Linked DNA regions of Drosophila melanogaster. The protein of the gene in region 3 interacts with the protein of the main gene of each other region in a pairwise test. Each region holds a gene or a part of one and is shown on either strand. Other genes may lie near its edges.

Region 1 (6,144 bases), on a different chromosome or scaffold from region 3:
AGGCCGCCTTTGATGAACTCCTCGACATTGCTTATGTTTGGAAACACAACGGCGAAGTCCTAAAAAACAATCACGACGGCACCGGACGCATTGTAAGTTAATGTTCTGAAATCTGCACTAAACCTGTCCTTATATTAACCTTTTTGTTATTGCAGATTGTAGATTGGAACAGATTGACAGTGCATAACACGAGCATGCGCGATGCCGGGGACTACGAATGCGTTGTCAAGTCGGCGGTAAACGAAATTAGCAGCAAGACCAGTGTTTCTATTGAGGGAGCTCCTGGCGCTCCTGGTGGTGTTCAAGTCATACAGATAAGTAAAACGAAGGCCATCATTGAGTGGGTGGACGGATCGCACAACGGTCGTGCGATCCGCTACTACAACATCCTAGGCCGTACAAACTGGAATCGCACCTGGGTTAATGTGTCGACCCATGTGCAGGCGCGAGAAGTAGATCGATACACCTCTCGCCAGCAAGCCGAGGTTGTCAATCTGACGCCGTGGTCGGCTTACGAATTTAGTGTTACTGCTGTAAACGATCTGGGAATCGGAACGCCCTCGGCCCCCTCGCCAATTTACAGCACCTATGAGGACAAACCATACATAGCCCCGAGGAACGTGGGTGGTGGAGGTGGAAAGATTGGCGACCTAACTATCACCTGGGATCCGCTTCTACCGCAAGAGCAGCATAGCCACGGCATACACTATAAAGTGTTTTGGAAGCTCAAGGGAGCCATTGAATGGGCATCTGACGAAATAAAAAAACAGGATCACATGGGCGTGGCTGTGGTTAATATTCCTCTTAATAACTACTATACGGAGTACGAAGTCAAAGTCCAAGCCATTAACAGTGTTGGCAAGGGACCGGAGAGTGAAATAGCTGTCATACACTCCGCTGAGGACATGCCACAGGTGGCTCCTCAAAAGCCCATTGCGCTCGCCTACAACTCCACATGCTTTAATGTCACTTGGCAACCTATAGACATGTCCCGTGAAAACATTCGTGGCAAACTCATTGGCCACAGGGTATGGTTACTGCACTTAATTCCATTGCATTGTCAAAAACCCTTATCTTTCACCAGTTGAAGTATTGGAAAACGACGCACCAGGAAGAAGACTCGGTATACTACCTGTCACGTACTACAAGGAATTGGGCGCTTATCGTAGGTCTACAACCAGATACTTACTACTTTGTTAAAGTCATGGCTTACAATGCTGCAGGTGAAGGACCTGAAAGCGAACGCTTTGAAGGTGTGTAACGAACAGTTTAAAAAACCATTTAAAGAAAATGCTTAAACACCATGCTTTTTAGAACGAACATATAGAAAGGCCCCGCAAAAGCCGCCATCTTCGGTTCACGTGTATGGAATAAACCCGTCTACCGTGCGGGTTGTTTGGAGATATGTTTCACCTTCGCAAGACGAGGAACCAGTAGAGGGTTATAAGGTACAACTCCCGGCACCGTGACCAAGAAAATCGATTACAGTTTGAAACTTTCTAGGTTCGCATTTGGGAATCGGACCAGAACATGATTACGGCCAACAATACCATAGTGCCAATCGGACAGAAACTGGAGTCGTACATCAACAATCTGACGCCAGGGAAGAGTTACAACATGCGAGTCCTCGCATACAGCAATGGAGGAGACGGTCGCATGTCCAGTCCAACTTTACACTTCCAGATGGGCAAGACCACGCGCAACGGCGCAAATACCCGACATGGCCACAATATCAATACGGCTCTTATCTTAAGCACATTGCTACTCATTAGCACCTTTCTTTACACAAGCCAATGAATGCAGCACAAATTAAGATCCATAACTTTAGGCAGTAAGAACATACATATACTAAGAAGTGACCTTATATTTGAGTAAGTGAAGTTATAAAAAGAACTACATTCCATCCGTGCTCTCTTGCAAGCCCCTTAATTGATACAAATGCAATTCCGTCCATTTTATAGACTTTTATCAAAAAATAATTTCTAAAATTTTATCAACAAAATAAATATGAATACCATTATATGGTCCAGTATGTTGCTGAACTAAAAATAACAATATCCCTATTTTTTTACTTGGAATAATGAATTATGAATTAATTATGAACGTGTGCCCCGGTTGGCCATATTTATGTCCCTTTTTGTTCACCTGGTAATACTACTCCTGCATTTTATACCCGATACTCGTGAAGTAAAAGGGTATACCAGACTAGTTAAAAAATATGTAGCAGGTAGAAGAGGTCTTGATCAGGATCGATCTGGCCATGTCCGTCCCTATGGACGTCGAGATCTCAGAAACTATCACAAATCAAAATTAATTATTGTCCAAAAATATCAAAAAGAACTAAGAACTAAGTGTTTATTTTTGGTTTTTCGATTATTTATTTTGCTGCTATTTCATCGCCCGCGTAAAACGGGCGGACATGGCTATATCGACTTGTCTGTTTTTACTGATTAAGAATATTTAATACTTATATATATGTATACGTAAATGTCTATTCGAATTTCCTTTCTACCAGGTACCCGGTATTCTTCTACAATTACAAACGAAAGCCATCTATCGGTGGGGTTACATTTATTGCTCACAACGCCGGAATATGTCATTAATGAAAAAAAAAGTTTGGTTTTTTCTTACTTTGCGTTAAAAATTAGTGCAGTATTGCAAATGGCTAGCTATTTTCCGCATACGGAAATACCACACAATACCAATCGGCTTCGGGAATCCCCCTAATATTACATGACGAATCTAATATGGTGCTGCGGTCCTCCTCGGTCACACTGAAATACTGCGAGCAGCGAGCAGTAGCTGTGGGCATTGGCAAAAACATAGAGAGAGAAGATAGATGCAAACATGGTTTTATAGCGGAAATCTCATACAATCGCACTGGACATCTGGGAACTTGAACCATCGACCTGCCACAGGCAAAGGCTTTCCCGTAAGGTTATCCTGGGTAGCTAAGGGAACACCATGGCGTATGGCTGGAACGGATGCGGAATGGGCGTGCAGGTGAACGGAAGCAACGGCGCCATAGGTTTATCCTCGAAGTATTCTCGCAACACGGAGCTGCGACGCGTTGAGGACAATGACATTTACCGGCTTGCCAAAATACTAGATGAGAACTCATGCTGGCGCAAATTGATGTCGATCATACCCAAGGGCATGGATGTGCAGGCCTGCAGCGGAGCCGGATGCTTGAATTTTCCGGCGGAAATCAAAAAGGGATTTAAGTACACTGCGCAGGACGTGTTCCAGATTGACGAGGCTGCAAACCGACTACCGCCGGACCAAAGCAAGTCGCAGATGATGATCGACGAGTGGAAGACCTCTGGCAAGCTCAACGAGCGGCCCACGGTTGGGGTATTGCTCCAACTTCTGGTGCAGGCAGAGCTCTTCAGTGCGGCAGACTTTGTGGCACTAGACTTCCTAAATGGCAAGTATGACTATGTTTGCCTTAAACTGACAAAACTAAAAAAAGTGTATCCACTGACTTCTCTAGAGTCCACCCCTGCCCGGCCTGTTGACGGTCCCGGTGCGCTCATAAGCCTTGAGCTGCTGGAAGAGGAAATGGAAGTGGACAACGAGGGGCTGAGCCTCAAATACCAGTCAAGCACTGCCACTCTTGGGGCAGACGCTCAAGGTAGCGTTGGCCTGAACCTGGACAACTTTGAAAAAGACATTGTGAGGCGGGACAAGAGTGTGCCCCAGCCGTCAGGAAACACCCCTCCCATAGCGCCACCTCGACGACAGCAAAGGAGTACTACTAACTCCAACTTTGCAACATTGACAGGCACCGGAACTACGTCGACGACCATCCCGAATGTGCCCAATCTGACAATTCTCAATCCCAGCGAACAAATTCAGGAGCCAGTGCTGCAGCCACGACCGATGAACATCCCCGATCTGTCTATACTCATTTCGAACTCTGGTGATTTGCGGGCAACTGTGTCGGACAACCCAAGCAACAGAACTAGCTCAACGGATCCGCCTAACATTCCGCGAATCACTCTTTTAATTGATAATTCTGGAGATGTAAACTCTCGACCAAATCACGCTCCAGCGAAAGCTTCAACGGCTACCACATCAACGGCGAGCTCAAACAACTTGCCAATGATAAGCGCCTTGAATATAAGTAAAGGCAGCAGGGAGACCTTGCGTCCTGAGAGCAGAAGCAGCTCCAGCAGCTTGAGCAAAGATGATGACGATGATAACGATGGTGAGGAGGATGGAGAGGAAGAGTACCCAGATGCCTTCTTGCCAAATCTGAGTAACTCAGAGCAGCAGAGCTCAAACAATGACTCCAGCCTGACAACGGTTACTGGCACCAGTGGTGATAACAGCTTTGAGCTAACCAACGACTCCAGCTCCACCTCAAACGACGATTACGCTTGCAACATTCCAGACTTGAGTGAGCTGCAGCAATAGATAAAAGCACCGACCATCGGCGGAGATGACATTCCGTTCGATAACTTATGCAACCCAGATGTATTCATTTGGCAGCTGGGTGTGGACCTTCTTATGTTATGCATGAGGTCCAACTAGAATCTAAGATTCAGTGCACGATTTGTTCATATCACGTCTGTAATCGTGACAGTACATGACAAGTACGGCAATATCAAATATTTCCGTTTCAAGAAAGCCATAACCCAATACCAAAATTTAACAAATTTTGTATACTTACGAAATACTCCTTCATTTTCTAGTATAAATTTCCTTAAACGCATAATGGGTTTCTGTGACAGTTTTGTCTTGGGACAAACTGCGATCTTATGACATTTTTCGTTATTAATTGATTGTTGCCTAAAATATTTCACAAGTACGATATAATGGCTAAATACAAATAAAATATTTTTGAAAACATTGTCTGTTTTTCTCGACGTTCATACTGATAATATACCACATGACCGCTTAAGTCAAAGCCTTTTTCAGGGCTGTAAGTTCAAGAGTTTAAGGCGACTGTTTTTTCTCGGTGAAAAAACTTTAGGTTTTTCAAATGAACGAATGCATTTTGTATGTAATTTTTGTACTATTTTATTTATGTGCACAGGTTAGTTTCGTTTAGTTACTAAATTAATACACTGTTGTCCGTTCCAAAATGTACACTTACCTTTCTCCTCGGATGACATGTCCATTGCCTTTTCCGTATAACTGCAAATTTTTGATTTTAATTGTTTTATTTTTGTTGTTCGAAACAGCAAACAGTATTACTCCACATTTGCTCTAATGCCCCGTGCCCGTGGCACGCAGAATAGTCGATCTTCAAACTGCTGACAATTAAAAATGTCTCGCACCTTGTTTTTATTTAAATTCTCATTTGCTATGGCGGGCGCGGTACGATATTGGTCCCGTGCTATCGCGTACCATTCATAATATCGATATCTTAAGAACAATAATCGGGAATTTGTTGGACACCTCTAGTGTTCGACGAAACCACTGAGCCAAACAAAATCCGAAATTATTCGCAACATGGACGAGTCGGAGCTGCTATTCAATCTGTTTTATATTCTGTTGTGCATGGTGATCATCTACCCGCCAGAGGAGTTCCAACGCCTGGGATTCACCATTGAACAGTTGTTCGCTCGGTTCCTGGGAGAAGAGTACCTGGACTTTGTAGGCTACCACCAGCGCCGTACTTCGCTGAATCTCTTCGTGCACTCCTGTCTGCCCTTCTCCTACTTTCTTATTCATAGGCTCAAGTTCTCCGTCTTCGCCACGCAGGAGCCCTTGGAGGACTTCGACCTGGACCCGGATTTCCCCATGCCCCAGGAAGCGGTAGCGTTTAAAACGCTTACGTGGAAAACCGCCCAGCGGTTCAGTGTGTTGGCCGTTCTGGCGATGCCCGCTCTGATCTTCAACTGGCACCAGGAAAACTGGCGTCGGCACCCGATCAGCAAGGCGCTCTCCAAGTACTCCATCACGCCGGGCAGCTACAGTGCCGTGGCTAGCGAAATTGGTATAGAGTTCCGGCAACCGGAAATATACAAGAAGAAGCTAAATTCCATTAGCTCGGTGATTGCCACGCAGAACTGGATAATAAAAACCACCATGTACAATGTTCACTTCGCCCATCAGAGCAACACGTCGCTTAGCGTAGCTAAGGTCAGTGGTACACGATTCCTTTGTATGTGCGACCCTAATATTTTGTCCGCA
Region 2 (6,241 bases), on a different chromosome or scaffold from region 3:
ACTGAAAACAAAACGCTAAACACTTGTTGGCCGCCTGGATGGCTAGATGGCTGGATGGTTGGATGCCTGATGGCTGGCTGCCTTCCAGCTAGTTGTCGCGTGGCAAGTGGCGGGGTGTCAACCAAACTCTGCAAACAGAAAAGGCCCTGCCGCCGAGCAATTTGTGTTGCAGTTGCCGCCGACGATGTTGCCACTTTGATTGTGCACCATAACTGCGAGGCAGCTTCTATTGTGGAGCTTTTCGTTCCTTTTTTTTTTATGTTTGCCAGCACTGCTGAAGTTTTGCTTTGATCGCATTGTAACATTTTGCGACAGTTTTAGATTGTAATGCGCTCCATGGGAGAAATGGGAATAAGAACAACTCTGAATTGAATCCGAGATTGCAAGTATGACTGGTGCAGTACACAAATTGATAACGACTTCAAAAGAAGTCAGAAAATGTGGAACTCCAGAAGAAAGCAGAACAAATCGAATACTACACAAAACTATATGAAATAAAATAAAGTTGCCAGTAAACAATAGTGCAATAGAGCGGTATATATATCATGACAAAAATCAAATTCAAATTGAACAATGTCTATAAAATGATTTTTTGGCAAACAATAGAGTTTTAAAGATATTTATTAAATCAAATGGCTTTGGGGAGCGGACATGGCTGACATTTATAAAATGTATAACTGCATGTTTTTTGGAACTTGTAATGCCATCGATGGCATTACTAGGCGTTTGATCGACCCGAAATGATTGCCACATTTAATTACCCCGTTCGATCAGATAATGCAGTTAATTTTCAATTTTCCCTTTTTTTTTTGCCCGCACTGAGTTCGATTTATTGTGCGCGTCGTGGGGACAACATGTTTAATTAACGAACACAATGAAGGAGAGTCGCAACAACAGGAGTTTGTCACCGACTTTCGGTGAAATTTCTGACTCTCTGGTGACATTTGAAAAGTTTAAAATAATATAATTTTCGACGCTATATGGCAAACTAACAAGTTCGACCCGGAAGCTCAGCGATGGGCGCTGGCAACTGAGCGATGTGGGTATTTTCGGGGCGTTTGTCTTAGCTAACTTTCCGCCCGGGAAAGGAGAAACTTTTTCGGCTGCACTGTTGCACCCACCCACACACACACACCCATACACACTCTTACTCACACACACGAAGATCTATTGTAAAATATGTAAGAAAGTTTCCTTGGCCTGGGTGGGAAAACGCTGCGTTTTCGGGAAAGCAGCAGCAGCATCGACGTTGTCTTTGGGGAAATTAAACATTTTCTATTTGAAAACTTTGCCGTGTGTGGGGGGCGGGGGGTGTAACGGCATTTGAAGCGGTGGATTTTCCAAAGGTTCAAGAGCAACAGTTGCCTTTTGAACTGTTTCGGGTCGGTCACACTTTGGCACTGCGCTGGATTCCCTTTGTTCCACCCAACAATTGCGGAAGTCATAATTTCTCAGCCGGCCAAGTTTCTGGTTTTTTGACAAATTTAGCTGCAAATTGTCGGCAAAACTTTAGTTCCAGCTTAAAACTGGAATGGGTCTCCAGTCCCGTGCCTTCGGATCCAAATGTCAAGCGGCTTGCTGTCATAGGTGTTGCATATTTAATGCGCCGCCGCCGATGGCAACACACGCGGCACAGCAGCGCTGAGGAGCAGCTGCATCCCCAGCACGGCGATTCGGACAAGTGCACCCAGAGTGCATGCAAATATTTTTGTCAACGATTGTTTTGCCGGCTCCCTCGATTCCGAGTGGCGAGCTGTGACTGCGGGGGCGGGCGGGAAAAGTCCGGGAAAAGCGGGTCAGGGAAAAGGGAGCGAGGACGAGGACAGTGGTAACCCATGTTTTTGTTGTTGCCAACGGTTTGAGTAATTGTCGCTGGTGTGAAAATTGGCAACGATGCCATCGAGCTGGAAAAGGATTTACTGGGTTATGTATGAGCCAAAGGCTGATTGAGATGGAGGAGCAGCTGGATCGAGCTGGAAATGGCCATCGATGGACGTCTATGGCGTTAGCGATGTTGCCAAAACTGAAATATTCATTAGGCCAGCAAAAAAAACCAATTGAGGTCATTTGAAAAGTGGCCTTGCTTAGCAAATCTGTTGAATATTATAAAATGGTGAGAAAGGCACTTGCTTTTAACATAATTAATCCTTTTTTTTCAAGCATAACAGTTTAACAAAAGATCATGAATAGTACGCGAATATATCCCATTAACTAAATTAATTAAAGCCTCGTATAAAGCGAGCAAGCTTTCCTGATTTTGCGTAAATAAAATCAATTAAATAGAGCTAAAAAAAGCACACCCAAACAATATTTGACAAAAGAAAACGTAGATCCAGGGGCAAATTGAAAACACGATTCAGCCCGCCGAAAAAACCCAATAAAATGGTAATAAAAAACCCAGCAACCAAAAATGATTTTCACATTGATAAAAATTAAATGCGATTCGGGGCGAAAGCAATGCGATGTGTTGCATCTGCTGGGACATTATCAAATAATTCAGTTGTAATCCATTTTAATCCGCCTGCCTGGCTGCGAAACCGACCCACTTGACATGGCGAATCATCAAAATGTTTGTTTACTTGCCCCATGCCCCATGCCCCTTGCCCCTCGCCAGCTCTCTCCTGCCACTTTCCTCCATGAAAGTATTTATTTCGACATTTTGCTAAACATTGCCCAGATTTAAATCTGCATTCATGTAAAATTGCATAAATACATGCAAATATCGCTTGATGGAAATGTCCAGCTATATTTCAGTCACCCACGTTTTTTTTACTCTGCAGGAATTATTCAAATATTTAAGCGGCTTAGTGTAATGGCTGGTGAGTTTTGTCTCAAATCGGAGGACGGGTACAAAGCCGCTCTAAGCGAAAAGAATCGATGCGGCTGCTTAAATTATACTTTATAATTTGGGCATATATGTGGATTACCCCAATTGGCAATTGAACGTATAATAGTTCGGTTTTATATTCAATCGATTGCGCACAGGGCGTATTTATCATTCAAAATGTTTCAAATGCCAATATGGATTGTAATACATTGTAATACATATTCTTCTTACATTACAAAATAGATTCTTCGAAAGGTAGATAAGAAGAGTATTCCAAAGCTATTCCGTTTAATTAACAAAGAATCCCATAAAAAGAGGAGCACGCCCTTCACGAAAGTCAGTTAAAGAGAATGTTAGCCCCACTAATCCTCCTGCAGATTGTGGCTCTGCCTTGGTTGGCTCTCGGAGATCAGCGGATCATAAACGGAAACACTGTCAACATTAAGGATGCACCGTGGTATGCCTCCATCATAGTCAATTCGAAGCTCAAGTGCGGTGGTGCCATTATCTCGAAGAACTACATCCTGACTGCCGCCAAGTGTGTGGATGGCTACAGCGCCAGGAGCATACAAGTCAGGTTGGGAACCAGCAGCTGCGGCACTAGTGGATCAATTGCTGGAATCTGTAAGGTCAAAGTTCATAGCCAGTACTCCAGCTGGCGCTTTGACAATAACTTGGCTCTCTTGAAAACCTGCGAGCTACTCAACACCACCGATGAAATAAAGCCAATTGAGAGGGCCGACAAAGTGCCGGATGATAATTCTCGAGCCAATGTGACTGGCTGTGGTGGCAGATCAGGCAATTTCCTTGACCTTATCTTAGACTTAGAGGATTAGCAGCGGAATAGAAGAGAAGTGCTTCCAGCTGCCTGTCCAATTGCACGGCACTCAAGTGCGGATCCTTAGCCAAAAACAGTGCGCCGCCGACTGGAAAGTCATACCATTTTACTTACTCAAGGGAATCTCAGACCTGACCATCTGCACCAAGTCGCCGGGCAAGGGAGCCTGCTCCACAGACAGGGGTTCGCCTCTGGTCATCGACAACAAGCTCGTGGGCATCCTCTCCAGAGCGGGCTGCTCCATTAAGCCCGATGTCTATGCAAATATCCTGGGGCACACGAACTGGCTGGACTCGAATACGAAGGATTAATATCTTACTTGCTGTGAATAGTTTAATGATAATATTACCTTGCCTTCTGTAGATCTATATTTGAATTTGTAAAGCACAGAATAAAGAACATTGCACAATGGCTTAAAGTGAGAAAAATTTTAACACACCGTAAAGTAAAACAAATTAATTTGCTATGCTTTGTGCCAATACTATAAAATTTAAACAGCCTGCTATATGCACATTTATTTGGCATCATGCTTCTGCGATCTCTACCAATTTTCCTTGCACTCTTTGTCCTTTCCAAAAGTGACACGGGTGCAGGTGAAGATTCGGAAGAGGACGACGAAAACGACTGCAACCGGACGACTCTTGGTGGTCATCCCGTGAACATAACCACAGCGCCATGGATTGCTTCCATTTCGATCAAACAAAAGGCCAAGTGCGACGGAGCGATATACAAACTGAGTCACATTGTGACAGCCGGGAAATGTGTGGATGGATTCCTGAACAAGGTGATCCGTGTACGAGTGGGTAGCACTACGCGCAGCGATGGAGTCATCGAAGTAGCAGTCTGCAACATTACAGTTCACGAAAAGTTCACCGGCCAGACAGTATTTCACAATGTGGCCATATTAAAGTTGTGCGAACCGCTCGAGGCCTCCAAAACGATCCAGCCAATTCAGTTGGCCAACCAGCTTCCGTCTAATGGGGCAAAGGTCACGGCCAACGGGTGGCCCTCCTTCAGGTGGTGGGCAATGTATTGGAAGAAGTGTCTGGATGATGAAGCCTACAAGCTGCAGAAGGCCGAGGTGAAGCTACTTGGCCCTAGCCAGTGCACAGATCTGTGGGCGCGAAACAATTGGTCCAAAAAGAATTTTACAGATGACTTGTTCTGCACCGAGAAGTTCGCTAAGGAAGCCTGCTCTTTAGCGATGGGATCACCTGTGGTCCACAATGGCAAACTGGTCGGCATTATAACGAAAGGCGGCTGTTCGGAGTATCCAGAAGTCTATATCAATCTTATAAAGTACAAGGACTGGCTGCATAATCATACAAAGTAAACTTAAGCGTTCTCCCAATTAATTGTTAAAAAATACTTTGCCTTCGAGCTATGACTATGTGCAGATTAGTGCAAGTAATACGCAATACTTCCTATTTTGATAGAGCTTCGAAGTAAAGCCATCACTCAATTTGAGGTATGACTTTGCAGATAAGGAGCTCTAGCCTTGAAAACGACTTAACTTTTCCTATAAAAAGAGTCGCACATGCAGCTCTAAAAATCAGTTGTTTATAATGATTTGGAGTGTGTTCTTATTTCTGTTGGCTGCTCTTTTACGGCCGGTTCGTGGTGATCTGGATGCCCAAAGCCGCATCATTGGAGGTTATGATGTGGATATTGAAGATGCCCCGTACCAGGCGGAAGTAATAATAGATGGCACAGCAATATGCAGTGGGGCGATCATCACATCAGACACCATCATCACAGCAGCTTCGTGTGTCCAGTCCTACGGTTCAATTGAAGTACGCGTGGGCACCAGTTCCCGCGATTATGATGGAACTGGATTCCTGCTCGAAGTCTGTGAAATAATTAATCACCCGCAGTACAATTGCTGGCGTTTCGATAACAATCTGGCACTGTTGAAGTTGTGCGATCCGCTCAAGACCTCCGAAGCTATTCAGCCCATCAGCATAGCAGAGGATGAACCGGACGATGGTTCGTGGTGCACTGTCTCCGGCTGGGGATCCACCAGTTGGTGGGGCAGCTGGTGGGACAGGTGCTTCGGCAGTCTGCCGGACTATCTGCAGATGGCATGGGTCAGCGTCTACAATCGGGAGCAGTGCGCCGCGGATCGCGGTGTTTGGTTCGGACTCTGGGACAATGGCATCTCGTACCTTACCCTCTGCACTCATAATGGCGCCGGAGGATGCTCCTACGATACGGGAGCTCCCTTGGTGATAGATGGACAACTCGTGGGCATTCTATCCGAAGGCGGCTGCACCACCAAACCAGATGTCTACGCCAATGTACCTTGGTTCACAGGTTGGATTGCCGAGAACACCGAAGATGAGGATACAACCGCTTCGACAAGTACTTCTAGTGATAGTAGTACCACTGTGGCTAGCACTACAACTGCTACTGTACCGAGCACTGTACCTAGTTCTGAACCTAGCACAGAACCTGTTGCAGTACCTAGTACTGAACCTTCCACCAGTACCGTACCCAGTACCATATCTAGTACCTTACCTAGTACAGTCTCTAGTACCTTACCTAGTGCAGTCTCTAGTACCTTACCTAGTACAGTC
Region 3 (6,142 bases):
ATATATTGTTTTATTAGCTTGTTATGTGTTTGTTTTTTTAATTATATAGATCTTGCACACACATCTATGTATGTACATACATATGTACATATAGACTTGTTGTGTACAATCATTTTTAAAGAATTATTTTTTACGTTGTTTTGTAAATCGCTGATGGCTCTTTTAAAATCGTCGATTTGCTTATGCAACTCATTGACTGAAATACCAGACGAACTGGCTGCCACAACTTGAGCAAGGACCTTGGGGCAGGGGCGTGGTTAGCTGTACACTGAAAGAAATTTTAGTGACTTAGCATGTAGCTATGGGGGTAAGTAGCAACTTCGCTCTTACCTTCACATTGAATGGGACACCGACAACATTGTTGGGTTAGTTGCCCCACCGCTGTCAAGGACACGTGCCACAGGAAGTTCAAAGAGTTTAAGGCGAAAGTCCGACAACCGGAAAAAATCAATAATGTCGTATACACGGGGTGCAAATGTACATATGTGTATGTACATGAAAATGACTGCCCCAGCACGTGTCAGCTTATAAGGGGGCAGGATCCATTAAAAATTACCTCGCGGGACTGGACGAATATCGCGTGATTTTCGTGGAAAACCCGCTGCAATTGGTTGCCGGCCTTGTGGGAGTGGGAGCTTCTCCATTCACCATTGTTTGATCGATGTCTGGACTCCATTAACCGGGTTGTTGTTCTACGTTCGTGCCATCAAGACATTGCGAGTTGACTTAGTCCCGCAATTCCCCCACTCCAATTCCACGGGCGGCGATGGCAATTGATGTGGAATTTCAATACTAACATTTGACATAATTCCTATTTATTTGCGCTTAGCTCACGTGCACTTATGTATGTATGTATGTTTACCAGGTGGCATGACCTTCGTGCCAGTGTGGTTTTGATAACGATTTACGATAATGGCGGAAAGTCCTTTTTTATGCATATGTACGTAGTATTGGGAAGAACTTAAGCATGTGGATTTTGTGTCACCGACCATCCAACTTTAATTAATATTATTTTTATTCTTATTTACTTATAAATTTTTCACAGTAATAAAATAGGAACATTTAGTACTTATTTGTAATTTTGTCATGAAATTATAAAAATACTACCTGGTTCTTTCGCATGTATTTCAAACTGATAATATTTCGTTTTCCAAATAATGTGACAATTATATTTTCTATTCATCGTTCATATTTAATAATTTGGTTTAATTAGCTGAAAAACCCAAAACATAAAAATCCTTATCTAACGTGCGACCACTTTTTAAGCGATGTATTCAATTATCAACTGTACTGACCCCCATTTCCCCAGAAGGTGAATCAGCAATATTATCAAATTCCGCGTAACAAGCCGTCTTGAATGTCAGAGGTCCTCCGCCCGGAAAGTGAAAGCTGCTCCGGAATGCTGAGCACGAAGCAAGTGAGTCACGGCATTGAGACTCTGCCGCAGTGGAAATTAATGCCACAACAAATGCCGGCGCAGGATATTATCCTTTTTCCAGGAATCGTACGCTGATTCAGACCCCCCAACCGCATGGGTGGGAGTGGGGTCTTAAATGGATAGCTCGCAGCCACACACACAGATAGTTAGTGCTCACCGTGCTGTTTCATTCATAAAAGCTGAAAAAGCTTTTCGGAGGCAGTCGCTCGTGGAGATGAGTCACATGTGAAAGACACTGAGATAAATGACGGAAGTTATTTTTTCCATTTATATTTTACTTTTCGTAAATATGCATATATAGTTGGAATATTCGGCTATTTAAACGAATCTCACATTGAAAATCGAATTCTTGATGATTGGTTACCATACAGTTGAATTCTCAATATTTAAGAAAAACAAAATATTTATATTTTCCGATTCCTTTGGGATGCTCCTAATAAAAAGATATGCATTTTCAATTAATTAGGTATTCCTTCAATATAATACGTGTTATAGATTTAAAAGGTGACACATTTTAAAAGCTTTTGAAAGAAACAACTGGCCTGCATTCCTACTAATCGGTATCAGTCAGATAAAAACATTTATATTATATGTATGTATATATTGTTTCGCCTTTATGCAATCATCGCGTATTCCTCGAAACTCGGATTTGTGGAAGATGTGGACATCTGTAAGCTATAAGTCGCAAGTGGAAAACTTCAATCGTACGTGACTCAGCACATGCTGATCTCGCACTCTTCGCCAAGCTAGGCTCTTCGGATTGTCTCTCTTCTGAGCTTAAGTCGAGACTGCAAAGAGCAGAGCTTGGGGCCGACTACTTAACTCCGTTGAAAGCTTCGCGATCTGCAAGTTTTGCGGTATTTTTCAGTGGCGCATACGGTATTGAAAGTTTGGCTCGCCTGTTTCTTCTTGGTGGGCAGTTAGTGTTCAAATCGCGGGCGTCGAGATCGGTTGGTAGTGCGTGTGTTACGGGTATTTTATCTCCACCTCCAAATTGTGCCTTATTTACCTTTTTCGCTGTGCTTTAAGCTTCCGCTCTCTTTCGCTCTTCTGGAGCTCGAAGGCAGGTTGAAATACCAGTAGATAAAAATAAAACGAAAAGTAAAAGAGCTGCATAAAAACGCATAAATTCAATTGAGCTCTAAGCAAGTTTCACTTGCTTTTTCGTATTACGAGTGACAAAAAAAAGAGACCCACCAATATAACGGAGGAAAAAACAAAAATAAAAAACTCGGCGCACGTATTGATAATTTCTATTAAAACTGAACGTTTACCGATTAGATTACACGGCACATCGACACTTTAACCACAAACATCGCAAGAATAACCAAAGAAAATGGAGGGCAGAGCGCGATAACAAATTACCCTAAATTATAAATCGAATAAATCGAAAAACAAAAACAAAAGGTAGTCGTACGTCGATGATCGCATAAGCATAAAGCCCGGAATTCCCTAGAAAAAATCGACGTCACGCGCTCTCTCGCGCTCTTTGCCCACTCTCTCTTTCTTCGGACTTCGATTTCTTAACTTTTCATTAGTTTCTGTTCGAACTGTTCTCCCCCATCCGTTGTTTTTGTCGTTATTATCGATATTATCGCACCCGCTTTGTGCGCGCGCAAAAGTTAAAAAAGAATAAAATAAGAAGAATCAGAAAGAGAGAGAGAGAGAGAGTGAGTGAGAAAGGGAGGGAAGAATAAATTATTTATATATAAAAAATAATAAATAAACCGGTTCCTGCCGTGCGTGCTTGTGTATGTGTTAACATTAACATGAAAAAAGCGCCATATTTCTCAACTATAAATAAATGGCTTATTTAGCTCGCTGTGCAACGGACTAATTTTCCAATTAACACAATAAGAAACTTAACAAATAATGTACATAAAAGTGTACTAATTGGTTCGCGTTGAATTTCAGGTGTCCGATTTACTTAGCAAACCCAGTGATATCAATGCATATAAGCGAGATTTCAGATCACTCCTTGACTTAGGTGAGTCCCCCTATAGAGCCTAGCTTAATTTATTGATTCTGAACATTGATTGCACGGATTAATAAAGTGCGGTGGAAAATCCTAATGGCTGCGTTTTGCGAGAAGGGTCTTGATATTTTAATAAATATGTACACAACTATTGCTTCCAAAGACGCAAAATGTCATTACAAAGAAACGCATCTTGCATTAAACATATTAAAAATATAACCTTATTGAGTCATTGGACGCCTTATCGTTTCGGAACAATGTTTACAGCAACAACATCGTGATTTATCAACCATTATTCACACTTTTAAGGTTTGATAAACCAAGACTGGTCACTTTTCTCGCATATTAATATTTTTCATCCTAAATAGTTTTAACATTTTGACAATGTTTAAAATTCCTGGATGCTAAGATTTGTAATAGCTCACAATTTCTGCATGACAAATAATAGTTAAGATGTTAAAAAAAAACTATTAGAACGTATTCAATCCTTTGTAGTGTAACCGCAGTTGTTGTTGTTGTGTTTTTTGGGTGGCAATTATCCACCTGCGTATTAAATAATCTACGGTGAATGCAAACGATAAACTTAAATAATACAACCGAAACACCTGTGTACATGGCAGCGCAGTCGCAGTGGCTTTTCGACGTCGCCATAAATGAAAGTTTCTTACGGGCACGTGGGTGGGCGAGGGGGGCCGTGGGGCCCAGAGGGGGTGGGGCTCGTGGAAAAGCTTTTGCCCCTTGTATTTATTTATTTTTTGCTGCCACTCAAATACGCCGGAGAGGTTTTCAATTGTTTCATTCTAAGATCGACTCGATGCGCCTGCGGTCGTGTTTGCGCTAACATTCTTTTATTTTTATTAAATATTTTTAAAATTCCCTAACGGTTCGATATTATTTTTAAGTAATAATTTGAAAAGTACCATTTTGAAAGAACAAACTGCGGTTAGTGTGCGTTTTGTGGCCCAAATAAAAGCAAAAAGTGAAACCGAATTCGTCATGAGTGTTCACTGGTTCTTGGTTTGATTCGCAGGTAATTATGAAGAATGAAGAAATGCTTTTAGCTGCTAATACGGTGTAAACTCGAAAAGTGCAACCAAGTTAAATGCAAACCGTGTGCTGACTCATAACATCAGACTCTCGTCTCCGGGACCAAAGAAAATCAAAGCGCTAAAATCGCTCAACTCGTTTCCAGCAAGTCATCGGCGATTTACAAAGCTCGAGTAGAGATTTGTGTGCTAACAGAGATCTAAGGCCAAGTCAATAGATAATATTGGTTATATCTACTGGTAGTTTCCCCGTATGCTAAATCCGAGTCATGATTGATACACGATCTGGCTGTGGGTAAGGCCCTCCGCTATGCAAATCATCAATCAATAGGGATTCTATTTTAGGCGAATATCATTTAAACCACTCGATAAGAAAGATCGTGGCCGTTATAATTGGAGATACGGATAAGATATGTATCTGCATTTTTGCCGGAAGTCACATGTGCACAATAATCCCTGATCGGCTAATTTAACAAACATTGTTTGGTGTGGAAAATAAGGATAATGGACTTGTATTCATACGATACAAAACATAGCTTTTGGCAACTAGTTCCATCGATTTGTCAGCATATCGGTTATTTATTTTTATTTGAGCTGTAAATTGCTTGACGCCAACGATCGTTAAAAAACATTTGTCTGTCTGGAGTTCTTGTTTTTTTTTTTTTTGCGGAACCCGTTTCACTGAGGAATTTTTGGCTGCTTCTGATGCTTTGATGTTGATCTTAATCTTAATTTGTGGTGCTGGCGCCAAAAGAACTTTTTTCTGTGTGTCTTTGCTATTGGAAATTGCATAAAATTAGCATGTTAAATGATCGAAACGAAATGTTCATTTTATTTTGTTTACTTACCTTTTTTTTTTATTTTTCGCCAAAAGTAGTTATCGTTGAACGAGTAGAACGTTATTTTATTAATTCATTTTATGGCTTAACAGCATAGACTTTTTTCTTTTGAATTTATCGTGTGGATTTTTGCAAGACATGGTGAAAATTAATAGCTAATCAAATAAATTATTTATTGTTTTGAGCAAACGAAGGGCAAAACCATAGGAAATTCCAATATAACTCCCCTGCAAAACACTTAAACCAAAAACCATCTATCGATACATTCTCAGGCCATCGTCATTTAGATTTATTTTTATATTCTTATCTTACTTTTGGTTATCTTTGAGTTTTTTTTTCGGATTTTCTACGCTCAACACCTGAGCGTTATCAGTCTGAATGCCGCAGGTTCTATCTGACGGGAATAAACGGTGGCAAATTTGTGTGGTTGCAAATGGTTCTAATCTCAATATAGCTGCGGATGAAACCATCGTAAATAGTGTATTGCAATTAAATTCGGTGGCAGTATAATTCTTGTTAGCCTTTGAATGACATATTAAATTGGTTAATCGATTGAAACTATGGGAATTTCCAGTATTTTGATATCCTCAAAATATTAGATTTAATTTTCAGGGTAACTGACCTATTCTCGTTCAGTTCCATACCTTGTTCTCAATGAGAAAGTCACGTAGTTAGTGAATGATTCTTGCCAAACAGTGGGTGGCACACGAGCGAATTCCTTGCATATTTCAATATATTTCAATATACATACATAGCAAGAAATTTGTTTTGTGACTCATTGTGTTTCGTGGAAATTCGTGTCCCAGTCAAAATCGAGATATTTTGTTTTCAAAAATCTCTGGGT
Region 4 (5,003 bases), on a different chromosome or scaffold from region 3:
ATGAAAATCATCGATTACTCTGAATTCATGTGCTAAGTTAACGGGCATCATAGACCTTCAAGATAGCATAAACGTGGAAGATGGTGTCCATATGGGCCTGATAAATAATATATATGAAATATATATCCAAAATTGGGTCGCATTTGAAGAGTTTAAGACATTCAGCTGAAGGATGTCCTTGCGGAAGACTCGACACAGATTGGAATCAATAAATTCAGCCGATTCTGAGTTATATAATGACATTATGACATCGAAGCCACTGTTGAAAATGTTCGGGAAGACTGACTCCGTCTTGGTTTTTATGTCAGCTATGTTTTGAAATTACCTAGTATGGCATATATTGAAAAATTTCTGCTAGACTAAGCATTAGTATAAATATGTATATAACTAGTTCAAACCACAATTTTTGGAACCATAAGAATTGTTCGCACTTACGAAATAGTGCTAATGGGTTATCCTTTAACCAGGCGCTTCAGATTGGTAAAGAGCCGCAACGTGAAGTGGTAGATCATTTCCACAAGACTCAAGATGGAGAACCCCATGAATAGACCGAAAATGCCACCGCAATTCGCCAGAAACTCGGTCATTCCGTAAAGCTCCGACCGCTTTGAAGTGATGAACTGACTCTGCTTGAAGTAAATGGACAAGCGGGACATCTGGGAGCCGGGATACTCCTTCAGGAACTCAGTGTCGCCCTCAGCCACTAGCATTTCTTCCAAATCAAAGTTGGCCTGGGAAATCTCCGTGTTGTAGACGAGGGATGTGCATGCTGGCATGCAGTTACAGGCAGATTCCACGCTCCGCGAATTTTCTCGGCCAGCGTTCAGCGCTTTTACTCTTTTGAATTCCCTGACTAACAACTCCCTTTCTGCCCGATCGTAGCAGTGGATCTTGTCCTCTCCGCATACAGGCATGTCCACGTTTCTGGGCATCGAGAACTTAACGCATCCGCACTTGGTCAGCGTGAAGTTGGCCAAGCACTCCAGTTGGCAATTTGATTCGGTGTACACCTTAAAAAAACGCAGCGACCGCTCGTGGCTGAGGAAGCACTGCCTCCGAACTGGATGGTACTCTGCTATTCCCGACGACATGGTGATCATGTTGGGCTTCACTGCGATCAGCACCTCCTTGCCCATGGGAATGCGCACAAACTGTTTGGAAACCTGCGGGACGTCATCGGGCGCATGAAGCAGTACCTGTAGATTGGCATTACTGTAGACACATATTGGAGCAAGAAAAAGCAAACAGCTACGTTTTCAAATTTTCCCACCTTAAATCCCTGCACAGGTCCTCGACAGGCGTAGTCCACCTCCTGCTTAAAGCTTTGGAGGGCCAAGAAAATGCCAGATCGCGCTCCGGCACTTAAGACACGAGCCGGAAAGGTCTCCACATCGCTGTCCAGTGCATAGCCCGTTTCCAGAGTCCAGGCCGTATGCTGCGAGCTAATATTTTCCATTTCCAGGGGCTCCCCGCTGTGTTGATACTGATAGGTGTCGTCCCGGTATATCTCAGTGGCTCTCAGCCCATTGAACGTATAGCAGATGCCCTCCTCCGTAAGAGTCTTTCGGAAGAAGGTCTCGCACTCGCCGAAACGACTAAGCCAGCGGCAGTAAAAGAAGTACCGATCAAACTGGGGCAGCATCCGCTGCAGAACATCAAAGTAGTCCAAGTCATCGCCGGCTATCAAGGGTATGTCCTCTTCAATGATCTGCGTGTTGCATACGTGCAGCAGGGTGCGGAACTCCTCCATCTCAAGGGCACTAACGTTTTCGGGCCTAAACACCCGCGAAGCTCGCATATCTTCGCTGAACTGGCTGTAAAGATCAGCATAAGTGGTCTCTTTTCCTGTCAGACAAAGGTTACATGTTAATATTCATAGTCTGTACAACTAGAGGCTTCCCGAATAACAAACCTTTCTGCTTTAGCACCCTTTTGGTCTCCGAGCAAACTGTGACCGCCGGAAACGGGATGTTCCACACGGGGGTCGATTTTTCCGCGAAGCTAACGATCACAGGCTTTAAAAAAACGCAAAATATTAGTTTTGTTGTCGGCTGAAGGCAGCAAGAGCACTTTTCATTTTACAGAAGACCCTGTAGTGTTCTTATATTTATAAAACATAACAGTTAGGGTGCATAATATATCGCATAATACATCGCAATTTTGAAGGATCTGTACTTTAAATGCTATTGTTTCAGAGAGCTTTTACTGATGCTACGTATATACATATGTATGTATGGTATGTTCTACTAGGGACTCGCACCGTTTCGGTCCACTTGGTGTAGGCACTTTGAATCAGCGTGGAGCAGCCGTAGATCGAGATCAGGAACACGAACAGCCAAAAGATGCGCTCGCGGAAGGGGCGCTCCTGCTCGCCAAGATATTGGACACCATGTATGGAAGTGTTCCTGCAGTATTCATGGTACGTGGTGATAAATCCTTCGCAGGCGACGGAACCTGCCTTCCTTCTCCTCCTGAATGTCAGGTCGATGCCCTTGCTGCTGTCGAGTTCCGAATCCGATATGGTCATGGTGTCTATTCCATTCTTGACGCGCACAAACACAGCTTCAAGTAATCCATGTGGGTTGGAGACGAAAACAACGTGAAAGACAAATGGCAAAACGAGAATTTTTTCCCGTTTCTTGGCAGACCTGCCAGATTGACAGGATCTTGGAGAGAACTTGCAAAAAAACGTTCGGATGGTGACAATTTAGCGATATATTTTACTTCCGAATTAAATTAAATTTTGTTGAAATTAACAAAAACGAAAAACAGGTACATATTTGCTGCAACTTTATTAATTGTCATTGTTAACACGTTATCCCAATTCATTATTTGCACATTCGCCTGTGTTGTTAAAAATTAAAACTCCAAAGAAAAATATTTCAAAACGCAGAAAAGTGGAAACGAGTTGAAAATCCAAATCCTCGTTACGCCTCGATATGTATCGATAACGAATGCTTCGTACACGATTTGTACTGTTTACTTAATTATTAAGATTCGTAATTATTTAAATTTATTTAAAATGGCGACAAGGTCTTGTGCGTACAAGGACTGTGAATACTATTACGTAGGCCACGAAAACGCGCTGACCAAAGGAAGAACCCTGTTTGCCTTTCCCAAACAACCGCAAAGGGCGAGAATCTGGCACGAAAACGGCCAAGTGCATCCAAAGATTCCCCATAGCCAGCTTTTTATGTGCTCCCTTCACTTTGACCGCAAGTTCATATCCTCCTCTAAGAACCGAACGCTCCTCGTCGGCGAGGCAGTGCCGTTTCCGTACGAGGAAAGCAGTAGCAAGCCGGAGGAGGAGCCCCAACAAGTGGCTTCCACTTCGCATGAGAGCTACTATATAAACCTGAGCGACGATGAGCTCAGCATCAACAATGTGGACACTACCTCAGTTACTACAAGTAAGTACTATAAATCCACCGGGCCTTCGAAATAGAGCGGGTTGGATTCATCATGTCGGTGTTGCATCTTAATGCTTTATTAACTTCTTTAACATTATTTTCAGTTGACGCAGTCCACGATAGTCCACCGCAGAAGCGCCCGAAGGAATCTTCCATTGTCATTGCTCTAAAGGAAGCTGTGAAAATGGAACCCAATCCGAATGCAGGCCGAGTTAGAGCAGAACCCGACAATATAGATACTACTGAAGTGTCTGTGTTCAACTTCAAGGGACAGGAGTACGTACAAATGTCTATGGAGTATTACTTGCAGGAAAAGCGGAAAATGGCTAAACTTTTGCAAGACTATAAAAATGCTTTAAGAAGCATTAAGAAACATATTTCCCACCTTGACCTTTAACTTTATCAATGTAATACATGTTGTTCTTCTGTCAATTTACTGAACGTTATCTTAGTTTAAAAGCACCTGACGAATTGGGAAACAAACCTAATAATTTATTTTATTATACTTGGAGAATAAATACTGATAAATATTAATTAATTTGTTACACTTTAAATTTCAGCATTTAATTTCTTTCGTTTAAACCTTAAATACCGCAAACAAATCTAAATTATACTCAGTATTATCTATTGGAAATATTTTTAAAGTATTTAGTTAAAATGTTTACTTTTACAAGCGCATTAAGATGGTGTTTGCCTAGATACTTTTAGCTTATGCGATACCTTAGCATTTGTAAATAAAATGAAATGGGTCCTCAACTAATCGCTGAGCTCCGGGGTATCTTCAATATCGCTGTCTACATCAATGTCGTCGCTCAGATCCTCGTCATGATCCTGCAGTTCTTCAGGCACGCCCAAAAGAAGACGTTTGCGCTGCAGCAGTGCTGCCCAGCTGAGACGAGTCTCACAAAGCGGACACTCTCCTCCAACTGGGATGTAATGACCTGGCTCGTCGCCCAGAAGGTAATTGGCCAGGCACACCATATGGCATGTCAGCCGACACATTTGATTTGTGCATCCCAGGCGGGATTTCTCCGGTTGCTCCATTTCCTGCATACAAAGGTGGCACTCGGAAGCCCACGCCACAGGTGGAGGAGGTACTGCATCATCAGGTCTCCTACGTTGTGAGGCACTAATGGAAACCTTGCCACTCACAATTTCCATGTGTTTAGGCAGTGCCTTGCTGAATGGCCTCTCGTAATCCGTTTCTAGCCAGCGAACGGTGAGCGGTAATCTATTCCAAGGGCCAACCCCCAGCATATTACTAAGGATCCTAAAGTTGTAGTCAAAGAACGTCTCCCTGGGCAGTTTTCGTTTTAATTCAGGGTACATTTTAAGCCTAGTTGAAAGCGACGGCTGTTGCCAAGCCCATTCAAACTGGAGTGCCACTGTATTATTCGGGAATCCGTGCACGATCATTACCATCAGCCACGGCCCTTTGCGACTGGTTTTCCTCGCGCCACCGAAATCACAACCAAGATTGTGTTGGCGTATCCGCCGTTTGGGGTTCACGGTGAAGCCCACGTAGCATTTTCCCCGGTAGCGAGGATCCAAGCTCTGACTGCATAGCAAATAGACGCCGTAGAAGTGGCCCTT

What was found.
Region 1: the proteins of dl (region 3) and tub interact in binary tests that used the Drosophila melanogaster proteins (3 or more experiments, as listed by UniProt).
Region 2: the proteins of dl (region 3) and twi interact in a two-hybrid assay, tested with the Drosophila melanogaster proteins (2 studies listed by BioGRID).
Region 4: the proteins of dl (region 3) and Dlip2 interact in a two-hybrid assay, tested with the Drosophila melanogaster proteins (one study listed by BioGRID).

Annotation. Positions count from the first base shown.
Region 1 is NT_033777.3:4,384,966-4,391,109, forward strand, and holds tub (tube), read left to right. Parts: upstream 1-2,776; 5' UTR 2,777-2,964; coding exon 2,965-3,427; intron 3,428-3,493; coding exon 3,494-4,419; 3' UTR 4,420-4,848; downstream 4,849-6,144. Other genes in the region: Cont (contactin), read left to right, coding at 1-92, 156-1,028, 1,085-1,253, 1,315-1,448, 1,504-1,797; CG14646 (uncharacterized protein), read left to right, coding at 5,461-6,093. UniProt on the Drosophila melanogaster protein: Plays an essential role in the Tl receptor signaling pathway that establishes embryonic dorsoventral polarity; the signal directs import of dl into ventral and ventrolateral nuclei, thereby establishing dorsoventral polarity.
Region 2 is NT_033778.4:22,983,265-22,989,505, reverse strand, and holds the start of twi (twist), read right to left. Parts: upstream 4,133-6,241; 5' UTR 4,015-4,132; exon of another isoform or gene 3,977-4,014; coding exon of another isoform or gene 3,178-3,976; exon of another isoform or gene 2,957-3,177; intron 1-2,956. Other genes in the region: CG32833 (uncharacterized protein), read left to right, coding at 4,192-4,998; CG32834 (uncharacterized protein), read left to right, coding at 5,231-6,241. UniProt on the Drosophila melanogaster protein: Involved in the establishment and dorsoventral patterning of germ layers in the embryo.
Region 3 is NT_033779.5:17,446,579-17,452,720, reverse strand, and holds the start of dl (dorsal), read left to right. Parts: upstream 1-2,356; 5' UTR 2,357-2,845; intron 2,846-3,352; 5' UTR 3,353-3,425; intron 3,426-4,210; exon of another isoform or gene 4,211-4,443; intron 4,444-6,142. UniProt on the Drosophila melanogaster protein: Embryonic developmental transcription factor. The lateral or ventral identity of a cell depends upon the concentration of this protein in its nucleus during the blastoderm stage.
Region 4 is NT_033777.3:4,643,588-4,648,590, reverse strand, and holds Dlip2 (dorsal interacting protein 2), read left to right. Parts: upstream 1-2,935; 5' UTR 2,936-3,022; coding exon 3,023-3,410; intron 3,411-3,514; coding exon 3,515-3,807; 3' UTR 3,808-3,942; downstream 3,943-5,003. Other genes in the region: rpk (ripped pocket), read right to left, coding at 453-1,196, 1,253-1,845, 1,913-2,015, 2,261-2,527; nuclease slx1, read right to left, coding at 4,167-5,003.